3 linked regions of the Sus scrofa genome follow. The protein of the gene in region 3 binds, or shares a complex with, the protein of the main gene of each other region. Links are inferred from orthologs where the notes say so. Each region holds a gene or a part of one and is shown on either strand. Other genes may lie near its edges.

Region 1 (4,192 bases), on a different chromosome or scaffold from region 3:
GTGACCTACACCACAGCTCACAGCAACCCTGGATCCATAACCCACTGAGAGAGGCCAGGGATCGAACCTGGGTCCTCATGGATGCTAGTCAGATTCGTTTCCGCTGAGGCATGACAGGAACTCCCTTTTTCTTTTTTAAATCGAGACTAGACAAAAATTGGTCGTTAACAAAAAAATCTGTCATTAACCTCTCCTACCAAGCAGGAAGCTTGTTGAATTTGGTGCTGAGCCACAAAATAAATGGAAACAAGGAGCATCCGTATGACAAGTACTGTCCTCAAAATATACGTATATTGAGGGCAATTATATCCTCAGAGAGTAAGAAAGCTCTTTTTTTTTTCCATTTTTTTATTACTCAAATGAATTTATCACATCTGTAGTTGTATAATGATCATAACAATCAGAAAGCTCCTTTTGAAGGCAATCTCTTTACCCCAAGTTCAGAATAAGTAATTTTTCAGGGTAATCTACACACAGCAAGCCCTAGGCATGGGGTAAACCCTGAGTTTGGGAGTCCTGCACGGACTCACTAGCAGAATCTGGGCAAGATACTCAGTCTCTCCCTAAACCTCCATGGGCTTCCAGGTAAATTCAGGTTAACAAAGAAGGGACCGCTGGGTCGCGAGGCTTGAGATGGTTGCGGATGATGACAGCAGCAAAAATGTCCACAAGTGCTTACAGGGTTCGAGGCTCTAGTCCCCACCCTGTCCAAGGACACCTCCTTGAGCATCACGACAACGCACACACAACACAGCACAGCACTCCTAATGCCTCTGGGATAGGCACTCACCAAGTTCACTGTCGGGAGACAGAGGAGGAAAGGAGAAGGTCAAGTAACCAGCCCAGGCCACTTGCCCACGAGGCGCAGCCAAGGCTGTGACCCCAGGGGACTTAACCCTGGGCTTCTGACCACTGTGCTGTGCAGCCTTTCCAGAACAGTGATGCTTGAACAAAGGCTTTGCCACATTGGTTGAGTGACCCGGGGCAAGTTTGGGGACCCCTCTCTGACTGTATCCTCTGCTATGAAAAAACGATGACGCCGCCAACTGTGCTCCCTGGCAGGGTTGTTGAGAATGAGATACCTGAGACTCTTAGCCGTGTGGGCACACGCTTAGCTGTCAACATGTATCAGTGACTATTATTGGCCTGCTGTCTTCATCTTAAACTGTGTGGTCCTTAGTTTCAATCTACCCCCTCTGGTGTGGCCTTAAGTTGGGAATCACCCTGCAAAGGTGGTCAGTGAGCATTTAATCAGAAAGGCCACTCCCTGAGCACCTCTCCAGGGGAACTGACAGGTCTGGGGGGCTGCTCTCCCATCAGCTAGGAGTGTGTTAGAACACAGACCCACGTGGAGTCCACAGCCATCGTGGCCCGTGGCCCCAGGAATCTGTTTCAATAATCTCCCAGGAGGTTTTCCACATGCTAAAGTATCTGATGCTTTGACTACTGCTGTCATCAAACTGGAGTCCGAGATGAGTTTTCACTGGTGAAACTAGTGGTGTTCAAGATATGGGGTTTGACCAGAATATTCCAGACACCGCCCATCCTCGCACAGACAGGCCATGAGAACAGTGAAGCCTGCTGACAGCATGGTTAGGAAGGATTATGACACACTCCTGTGTCCTGCCCTGGGTTATATTTGTTCCTACCTGGCACAGGCCAGAGTAGCAGAGACCTGTCGGTGGAAGACCTTAGCTTCTGCCTGCATAAACTTTTAACCCAAGGTACAGCTGGGTCAGCTAAAAAAAAAGCAGAGCTAGGACTTCATTTATTTACGGTTTTGTGCCTGTCTGTCCAGGGCATGGCAGAACCAGGTCTCAGCATCTGAGAGTCACTTTTATTAGTAGGTGAGTCGCTAATAAGGCTGAAGAGCAGAAACTGGCCTCGCTCAGCACAGACTTTCTCCAGCTGTTTGCCAAAGAGAATCCATGAGATTTAAGTCTGCTGTCACATCAGCCATCAAACAGAATGGGTCCCTCCTCCAGGATTTAGGTCAAATTCCAAAGGGCTCAGAACTTCAAGTCAAACAGGTCAAATAACAGTCAATTCAAGTGTTTACCATTGCCAGGCTCTGTTCCAAGAGCTTCGTCTCATGTCACTGTCATAGTATCCATGCCATGTAGACATGACTGTCATTACCTTTTCATGAAGAAACAGTCACAGCCTGGCTAAAGCAATGGCTATTAAGTGGCCAGCTGGGATGCCAACCTAGGCAGGGGCATTCTTAACCAGGATGCATCTAGGTGTCTTCAGAACTCTGTTTTAATAAGTAATTCTGTTAGAAATAAGTAAATTAAGTAATTTATAGGTTCAAGGGAACTTGTTTTAGTACCGACTAGGTGAACAAAGTTTATTTTCAAGAGAGACGGGACAGCATTTCACACTCTAGTGAGACATTATTCTAGTTACACTCTGGACCGTAAATATTCAGAAAGGGGGCCTGACTCGTACCTTGGGGCGTCTCGTAGGTCAGCGTGGACATCTGCACCACCGGGCCGTCCTCGAAGGGCTGGTCGTACTGTAGGAGACGAAGGGGCATCTCGTGAGATAGGAGGGCCGAGAGCAACCCCTGACTCTCCTTAAGAAGGCAGCAGTGCGAGGCTGCAAAACTGGGGGCCCTGAACCCTGCCTCTTTCTCCCATCCCGTCCCCCGCCCTCCTCCTCTACCCACCCCCTAGCCCCGCCACGGCCGCACCTTCTCTATCAGCTGCTGCATGCGCCTTTGAAAGCGGCGGCGGCTGTCCCTGAGCTTCTGCAGGAGCTCGTCCTCCCCGCAGACCTCCCCCTCCATGGCGCGCCGTTACCCAGGACCCAACTCTTGCAGTAAGCCGGGCAAGGGACAGGCTCCGCGCTGCCGTTCAAATAGCTACTCCCGCCCTTCCGGCCCGCCCCTCAGGTTTCCCATTGGCTAAACTGGAAAGGTCGGGCGCTGATTGGGCCTTTCAAACACGTTCGCTCGCCTTTCTCTCGGCCAATCCGTTGTTGAGGTTCTGGCCCCGCCCCGCCCGAAGCGCGCGCGCTGGGAGGAAAGGAGGGGTGGGAGCGCGCTGCCAAGCTTTGGAAGAAGGGTGACGCGGTCTCCCCTGCGGCCGTTTGCGTGCCTGTTATTCAGCAGTGCCACACGAGTATGATGTCCCCCGTCTTGCACCGGAGATGTCCGGGTGACTTATTCTGGGACTCGCGGCAGGTGAGGGTGGCCCCTTACCACAGGTGGGGTCTGGCCCCGCCCTGAGCCAGCTTCCTCTCCCCGCCCTTCTGGGCCCCTTGCTCAGTTAAGAAAGCCGGGGCCCAGAAAGACGCTAAGGACTTGCCAATGGAAAAGAATAGAAAAAGGAGCATGAAAGTGAACACGCATTTAGAAAGGAGAAATAGCGTAAACGTCATGATTCAGGAAAATACACTGTGGTATTTTTTATTAACCTGGTGCACCTTTTCCGTACATATTGCATACTCTGCTCCATTGATATTAATTTTGTAATATTCGTAGGGATGGAGTAGGATAGTTATACTCCATAGTTAGTTGTAGAAGCCCCAATAACAGACCACACATAGAGAGGGAAATCCAGGGAAATTTGGGAAACCACTGTAAGTTAATTGCTCAAGAGGACCATCAGAAGGAAGCAGACTTGGGAATTCCCATCCTGGCGCAGCGGAAACAAATCCAACTAGGAACCATGAGGTTGCGGGTTCAATCCCTGGCCTTGCTCAGTGGGTTAAGGATCCGGTGTTGCCGTGGGCTGTGGCGTAGGTCGCAGACGTGGCTCGAATCCCACTGGCTCGGATCCCACGTGGCTGTGGCGTAGGCTTGGATTGCTGTGGCTCGGGATTGCTGTAGGCTGGTGGCTATAGATCTGATTAGACTCCTAGCCTGGGAACCTCCATATGCGGCGGATGCGGCCCTAAAAGGACAAAAGACAAAAAAAAAAAAAAAAAAAAAAAAAAAAAAAAGGAAGCAGGCTTGCTTGACTAGTGGAGGCACAAAATATGCCTCAGCTGATGGGGTGAGGCCTGCATTTAGGTTCAGGCTGGCAGCTGCAGCCCAGCCAGAGAACTTGCATATGCTGCACCTATGGCTGTAAAAAGAAAAAAAATAAAAGATTGCCTCCGTTGTAGAGAGCCCCTCCCCCGAGGTCCTGCAACCCCAGGGCAGCCCAGATCACTGAATGCTGGGCCACTTCAGTCAGTGGACAAT
Region 2 (4,317 bases), on a different chromosome or scaffold from region 3:
GATTAGATCCCCAGCCTGGGCACTTTCATATGCCACGGTTGCAGCCATTAAAAAAAAAAAAAAAAATGTATTATTACCAATATCAAATGTTTAGTAAGCTTCACCTTCACTTGGCCCAACGGGATATAAATGACCCCATCCCATGTGAAAACCTCTCTTTACTCCATTGTCTTTACTCAGCTCCTCTGACATCCTGAGCTGAGCCAAACTCCTGCCTCTACTAAGGCTTCCCTATCGGGGCTGCTACCTTCCCTGGCCTCTAATGGTTTTTGGATTGAATTATTCAGGAAGATGAAGACCTCTATTATATTTTAAGAAATGTGAGGCGTTCCCACCGTGACTCAGTGGTTAATGAATCCGACTAGGAACCATGAGGTTGTAGGTTCGATCCCTGCCCTTGCTCAGTGGGTTAAGGATCTAGCGTTGCCGTGAGCTATGGTATAAGTCCCAGGCGAGGCTCGGATCCCGAGTTGCTGTGGCTCTGGCATAGGCCCGCGGCTATGGCTCCGATTAGACCCCTAGCCTGGGAACCTCCATATGTCATGGGAGCGGCCCTAGAAATGGCAAAAAGACGAAGGAAAGGAAAGGAAAGGAAAGGAGGAGAGAGAGAGAGAGAGAGAGAGAGAAAGAAAGAAAATGTGAGAGCAGAGACTTTGTCTTAAACTAGTTTAATTCTTCCCAAATCCTGCCTAGTGCATTGTATCACAAAAACACCATTTTTTTTTATCTTATTGACATGCCAAATAAATACGACCATAAATTATGAGATAGAAATGTCTTTAAGAGTGTTTCTCACAGCCTGTTATCTTTGCAAGGTGCCTAAGGAGCAAAAGATTAAATCTATTTTACAGGTAGCAAACTAAGGAACAAAGACATCTAAGTCTGCATTTTATCATAAGTCATTTGATGGAAACAACTCAAGCACTTACGTCTCTTATCAGTACTCAGCAATTTAAAATAAAATACTTAAGTAAACTCCTGAGAACATTTAGCTAACTACCTTGCCTAATTTAAGTCACTCTTCTAGTGTCACACAATAAAATAAGAGTTATCAAACTTGCACACTGGATGTTTTTGAACATTAAATAACACCTGTAAAGTATTAAATTCCTCTTAATTTTAAATAGAAAAAATTCAAGGGTAAGACAGTTCTTTCACTGGGCAAATAGGAATCAAGCACCTACCACAGGGCCAAATGCTATTTAGGCACACTAGAAAACAAGTGGTGAACAAGACAAAGGAGGTCTCCTAATTCTAAAAGTCAGGACACAAAATGTTTTAACTTTCAAAATCAGTACACACTCAAAAGCTGCCAATTACAACTTATTTTTCACTCAATTTTCAATTTTAGTTTCATTCACTGTGAGATTATGTTTCTCAAAGAAAATAATATACGACCCAGCAGGGTCTCTGAACCCCAGCACTCCTGACATTAGGAGCTGGATGCCTCTGTTGGGAGAGCCTCCCTAACCTCCACCATCACATGTCCCTGGCAAGCCCTCTCAGGACAACCAGAAATTTTTCCTGATATCACCGAATGTCTCCTACAGGGCAAAATCACACCCAGTTAGAAACCTTAAAGTACAGGAATGAATGAGGATAATCTCTAACTCCTCGTTCTCAATTTTTTTTTTTTTTTTTTTTTTTTTTGGCCTTTTAGGGGCGCACCCGCGCATATGAAAGTTCCCAGGTTAGGGTTGAATCACAGCTGCCGGCCTACACCGCAGTCACAGCAACATTGGATCTGAGCCCCGCTGCGACCTACACCACAGCTCTCGGCATCCCTAGATCCTTAACCCACTGAGCTAGGCCAGGGATGGAACCCGCATCCTCATGGATCCTAGTCGGGTTCGTTACCACAGAGCCACAAGGGGGTGGGGGGTGGTTGCTGCACTAGCTGCTAGCTTAAAGATGGGCAATATTCATTGTTTACGGAAATGGCCCGCAATATGTTTTGTGGACACCTCTTTATACTCACAAGCATACGTATCTAACTTTATTACACACGTCAGTTCACCAGTGTTGAAGATTTTCTTAAAAGGGAGATCAAGTAGAAAATACAAGTTTAGGATAGGGGTTGATACGGGTTGTATAAGGTATAGCAACCATAAGCGAAGCTGAGAGTCCAGAAACACGTACACGATAAAATGAGTTCCCGCCCCCCTCCAGCCATTCACAAGCTTCTGCACTTTTAACTAGGGCTGCCCCTCTGAAAACTTTGTCCACAGCTGACGCCTGCTTCTCTAGCCCAGCAAGTCTGCAGCTAAGGCACATTTTTGAGGCGGTTCAATACTTCCATGAACAGAAAATTCTTGGCTGTCTAAGAGATGGAATGAGGCTCAAAAGGAGCAATCACAAGATTCTCCCAAGAAAGAGGCCCTCACATTGGGATTACAAGAAGTCTTGCGGAAACAATACCACCGGTCACTCGGCCTCTGAAGAGCTCCCGCGTCTTTCCCACTGCAGTACCCCCGGAGCCCTAAACTCCGCCTGCGGCTTCGCGCTCCTCGGCCTCGGCGCGAACGCCCGAGGCCTGCACTTACCAGCCCCCACGCAGCCATGTTGCGGCCGGTTCCGCCCGCGCAGGGCTTTGGGGAGGAAGTCCACACGGCCGCAGCTCAGGGCAGCCCAGCAAAGACCGAGTAACCAGCGCAGGAGCCAGGCGGGAACCCAGCAGCGCCGGACAGCCAAAGGCGGCGGAAGACACGGAAGGCGAAAAGCCGCGGCCTCAGGAGCTCGCCCAGCCGCACCCGGCGCCTTACGCAATTTAAAACGGACTGCACATGCGCAAAACGGACCCTTCGACTCCGGAGGAAAGCCGTTAGAGGCCCGCCCCCTCGCTTGTACTCGCGCGTCCGGCTTTCGCAGCCCCGCCCTCCCTACGTCCAACAGCCCCGCCCATCTCGTAGCCCCGCCCCCATCCTCGCGGTAGGCAAGCTTCTCTCTCTCTCCTCTCTCTCTCTCTCTCTGTCTCTCTCTGTCTCTCTCTGTCTCTGTCTCTCTCTCTCTCTGTCTCTCTCTCTCTGTCTCTCTGTCTCTCTCTGTCTCTGTCTCTCTCTCTCTCTCTCCCCGCACCTGCCCCTGCTCCAACGTGCAGAAGTAGTTTACTACTAAGTCTCGTCAGCCACACCCAGCTCATTTTGCATCTTCTCTGAAACGAACAATAGTATAATGATGATGGATCACATATTTTTTCAAATATGTGGGTAGGAGTTCCCGTCGTGGCGCAGTGGTTAACGACTCCGACTAGGAACCATGAGGTTGCGGGTTCGGTCCCTGCCCTTGCTCAGTGGGTTAACGATCCGGCGTTGCCGTGAGCTGTGGTGTAGGTTGAAGATGCGGCTCGAATCTCTCCTTGCTGTGGCTCTGGCGTAGGCCGGAGACCACAGCTCCAATTAGACCCGTAGCCTGGGAACCTCCATATGCCGCGGGAGCGGCCCAAGAAATAGCAAAAAGACAAAAAAAAAAAAAAAAAAAAAAAAAATGTGGGTAATGTTTTTGTGAGGCATTGGCAACAAAATGGTCTATGTAAGTGTTATCATTTAAGCATAATGTCCTGAAAGGAACCCTAAATCAAGAGTCTTGAAACCTGGATTAGCAATGTCATCTAGGACAAGCTCAGACCCTGTTCTGGCTGTTTCATTAGTTACATGATGCGAGAGTTAAGTTAGATGTTCTGAAGACTTGACCTGTTTGATGATTCTGTGAAACTATGTCCTACTTTTATGATTTAATAAAAATTTGCAAGGGAATTTTAATCAAAAAATACATTACCTTCTCCTTAGGTGAGGGAATAAACGCAAAAATAAAAAGTGGGACTATATCAGGCAAAAAAGCTTTGGCACAGCGAAGGAAATTATCAACAAATGAAAAGGCCACTTATTGTATGGAAGAAGAGATTTGCAAGCAATATATTCAGTAAGGGGTAAATATCCAAAATATACAAAGAACTCACACAACTCAACATCAAAAAAAAAAAAAGATTAAAAAAAATAGTGAAAGATCTGAATAGACATTTTTCCAGAGAAAACATATAGATGGCTAGTAGGCACATGAAAAGATGCTCAGCATCACTAATCATCAGGGAAATGAAAATTGAAATAATATGGAGAAATCACACATGTCAAAATGGCTACTATCAAGAAGATAATAATAAAAAATTGGCAAAGATGTGAAGAAAAGGGAGCCCTTGTGCACCATTGGTGAGAATGTATCTTGGTGCAGCCACTGTGGAAAACAGTATGGAGACCCCTCAAAAAATTAAAAATAGAACTACCATATGAGCAATTCCACTCCTGGGTGTTTAATCCAAGAAAA
Region 3 (3,169 bases):
GTCACCCAAGAAAGAGAAGAAAGTAAAACTCCAAAATCATCAGCAACCGTGAGTGCTGTTTAGTCAACCGCAACAGCAAACAACACAGTCACCCTGTGAATCACTTATTCTCATGTTACCGGATACTCGAGGTGCTGAGAGCATAAATCCTGCCTGCATCTGAATGTGACACGTGACCATGTGCTGCAGGGCTGTCCTGGTTAATACAATTTTAAGAAAACAGAGAAGCGTCAATTTAAAGAAAACTAGGGGGTTCCCGTTGTGGCTCAGTGGGTTACAAATATGACTAGGATCCATGAGAATGTGGTTTGATCCCTGGCCTTGCTCAGTGGGTTAAGGATCCAGAGTTGCTTTGGGCTGTGTGGGTCCCAGATGTGGCTCACTTCTGGTGTGGTTGTGGCTGTGGCTGTGGCCGGCAGCTGCAGCTCCGATTTGACCCCAGCCCGGAAACCTCCATATACCAGCCACCCTAAACAGCACAAAAGAGAGAAAGAAAGAAAGAAAACTAGAGGAAGAGAATAATCTTCTGATTAATAACCCTCTGACATTAAATATATTCATAGACAGAGAAGCTTTATTCAAATGTCTACATCGAAGTGAGTTGAGGTTGAATGGGAAAAGGTTTTTCCAAAGGGTTAAAATTTACCAAACAACAGAATCCAGTGGTTCCCTTTCGTTGAATGACACATGATCGCTGGATTGCTGGTATCTGCCCCTCACGAATCATTTTTACCACACGCAAAATCCACAAAAATCTAAAAGTCTTTCTTGGCTGGTACTTCCATGTCCCTGGAAATCTCTTAAACCGCTTTCAGTCACAACAGAAAGGCCAGGTTTTTAATCTGCTCATACTCTGGGCCAGTGGAGGCCAAAAGCACCCCCGCCCCCAGTTCTCTTGTTTAAATTGCAGCCGTTGGCAAACAGTGTCCAGGCGAATAAGTCAGCGCTACCACAAGAGAACACAGTACAATCGCTGTAAAACAGTAGCACCGCTTCAATTTTTCTCATTAAAAAATTGCTTTTATTATTATTCTCTCTCCACAAAGAATTTATAAAAAAATACCTGTAAAAACATCGCAAAGGCACTTTAAAATCCTGGAATGAAACATTCTAACGTATAAACTATGATACATCTTCTCTGATTTTTCAAAGGAGAATAAAATTCCACGAGTGCGAATTTCTGAATGATTTTGATAGGAATTTACCAGAAGGAGCCAGGACATCAAACCTGAACGATTTTCTATTTTCGTCCCATTGAGTTTTTTGAAAAGCTACGATCTGGTGACAGGCACAGTGCACAGAGGAAGTGGCTGCTGCCACTAAGGATGAAATCAATCTGAAGGACAGAAAGTTGTATGCTACCTGAGTCAGGCTCTTCCATGCAACTGCCTGAGGTGGTCTTCTTTTAACTTTTCCCTTGTGTTTTAAATAAATGTAAATAGACATATGGTTAAAAAAAAAAAAAATTACATGGTACAGAAAGATCTAAAATAATCAATAAATATTCTTTTCTCCCATAACCTAGAACACCTGATGTCTTCAAAAGCATCCAACAGTCACATGAATAATTTTCAAAGTGACATCAACCTTGGAGTCTCTTCATCTGAAAAATTTTTCTCAGGGCTTGTGGAATGTGTTGATTCTCTCATACATCACCTCGGTTACAGAGGAAAGCCATACGGTCTTCTCCACCTTAAAAAAAACGAATTACAAAAGCAATGCGTGCACACAGCTCTGGGACGGCAAGTCCAGACGGCACCTCACACGTCCTCCGCGGATCTGGTCCTGCAACGGGCAGAGTCCTGGGTATCATCTCTGAAATTCAGGAATCACATTTATTAACAAGGCATTAAAAAAAAACAACTTTCTTTTAATCCAAATGAGGTCATCTGGTCTTTGTGAAGTGGAGAGGACTCCTCTGGCAGAGATGCACGTTGTCTGGTCATAAAGTCAAGGAGAACATTGTTCAAAAGAATCCCAGGCACTCAAGTTAAAACTTAGTCGGATCTTTTCCAGAGAACAAAGGGCAGGCGGGGCAGCAAAGGACCAAGGATGGAGAAGGCAAATTCCTTCAGAGGTGATGGGAGGCTGGGTGGTTTTCCCCCAAGTGCACTCATTCTCTGGGGGGGCAGGGGAGGCTTCCAGCGACACCGGCGGCGGGAGCTCAGCCGAGCCCTTCCTGAATGCCCCGGATCCTCCTGGCCAGCTGGATGTCCTTGGGGAAGAGAGTCACGCGGCCGGCGTGCAGGGAGAGGAGGTAGGCGTCCTCAAAGAGATGAACGAGAAACGCTTCTGCCGCCTGGGGACAGAGAGAGAGGTAGAAAGGCTGACACAGACCAGGGGGATGGAGGCGGGCAGGGGGCACCTGCTAACTGAGTCTCTAAGGGCTCAAAGGACATGGGAGAGACTGTTCGCCAGCCAGCATGAATCCACCCTTCAACCCCCTGGGTGTTCCCTGTTGCTCTTTGCTAGGAGGTGAGGCGTTCCTTTGTGGCGCAGCGGGTGAAGGAGCTGGTGTTGTCACTGCAGCAGCCTGGGTCACTGCTGTGGTTTGGGTTCGATCCCTGGCCCGGGACTTAGGAACTTCCACATGCTGCAAGCGGGGCCAAAATAAATAAATAATACATAAATAAAATAAAATAAAAAATAAAGGAGGTGAGATTCAGCGCTACCTTTCTCCCACATGCACCCCTCACCCAACTGGACCTGGGCCCCCTTCTCACCTCTTGTAGGGCCAGCAGGGCCTGGGCTTGCCAATTGAAATCCACACCACGAGTGAACTGAACACATATTTCTCGTGCCTGGGAAAGACGGGGGATGGCGAGCAAGCGAGAAGGGGAGCGGGGAGGAGCAGAGAGGAAAGGGAGATTCAAGAGAGGACAGCCTCTCTCCGTGAGTCTCCAGGAATCTCCGTTTCCGCTTTTCCTCCCCGGCCCTTCGTCCGAGGACCTGACTAGTGGCTGGGGTCAAGTCCAGGGAGCCTGGAGATGGCACGTCTCTTCTTGTGGGGGGTGGAGCGGAGGAGACCATGTCCCAGGGCGGGGCAAGGGATGAAAGGGTGGCTGGATGAGAGGGTTCGGGTTTGCATAATCAAAGGACATAATGTCTCTATAAAACTGGATTGTGATGTCATCGTACAACTATAAATGTAATGAATTCATTGGGTAAT

What was found. The genes of interacting proteins can lie anywhere in the genome.
Region 1: the proteins of CENPA (region 3) and HJURP are in contact, whole or in part, in a crystal structure (PDB 3R45), measured with the Homo sapiens proteins. The link is inferred for Sus scrofa from reciprocal best matches to the Homo sapiens genes CENPA and HJURP. Residues at the interface, in NP_001800.1 of Homo sapiens: Lys64, Leu65, Ser68, Arg69, Arg72, Asp83, Phe84, Asn85, Trp86, Gln87, Ala88, Gln89, Leu91, Leu92, Ala93, Glu96, Ala97, Ala100, Phe101, His104, Glu107, Asp108, Leu111, Leu112, Leu114, His115, Ile132, Glu136; in NP_060880.3 of Homo sapiens: Glu14, Asp15, Leu18, Lys21, Leu22, Ser25, Arg26, Arg28, Phe29, Arg32, Met33, Leu36, Lys39, Tyr40, Pro43, Phe44, Thr47, Pro48, Val49, Val50, Gln51, Met52, Ala53, Thr54, Leu55, Ile65, Trp66, Gly67.
Region 2: CENPA (region 3) and CENPC share a complex: the UniProt entries of both Homo sapiens proteins name them as parts of the CENPA-NAC complex. The link is inferred for Sus scrofa from reciprocal best matches to the Homo sapiens genes CENPA and CENPC.

What each region holds. Positions count from the first base shown.
Region 1 is NC_010457.5:134,120,309-134,124,500, forward strand, and holds the start of HJURP (Holliday junction recognition protein), read right to left. Parts: upstream 2,856-4,192; 5' UTR 2,792-2,855; coding exon 2,696-2,791; intron 2,519-2,695; coding exon 2,452-2,518; intron 1-2,451. UniProt on the Homo sapiens protein: Centromeric protein that plays a central role in the incorporation and maintenance of histone H3-like variant CENPA at centromeres.
Region 2 is NC_010450.4:65,312,934-65,317,250, forward strand, and holds the start of CENPC (centromere protein C), read right to left. Parts: upstream 2,856-4,317; 5' UTR 2,562-2,855; coding exon 2,544-2,561; intron 1-2,543. UniProt on the Homo sapiens protein: Component of the CENPA-NAC (nucleosome-associated) complex, a complex that plays a central role in assembly of kinetochore proteins, mitotic progression and chromosome segregation.
Region 3 is NC_010445.4:112,263,360-112,266,528, forward strand, and holds the end of CENPA (histone H3-like centromeric protein A), read right to left. Parts: intron 2,802-3,169; coding exon 2,724-2,801; intron 2,300-2,723; coding exon 2,165-2,299; 3' UTR 553-2,164; downstream 1-552. UniProt on the Homo sapiens protein: Histone H3-like nucleosomal protein that is specifically found in centromeric nucleosomes. Replaces conventional H3 in the nucleosome core of centromeric chromatin that serves as an assembly site for the inner kinetochore.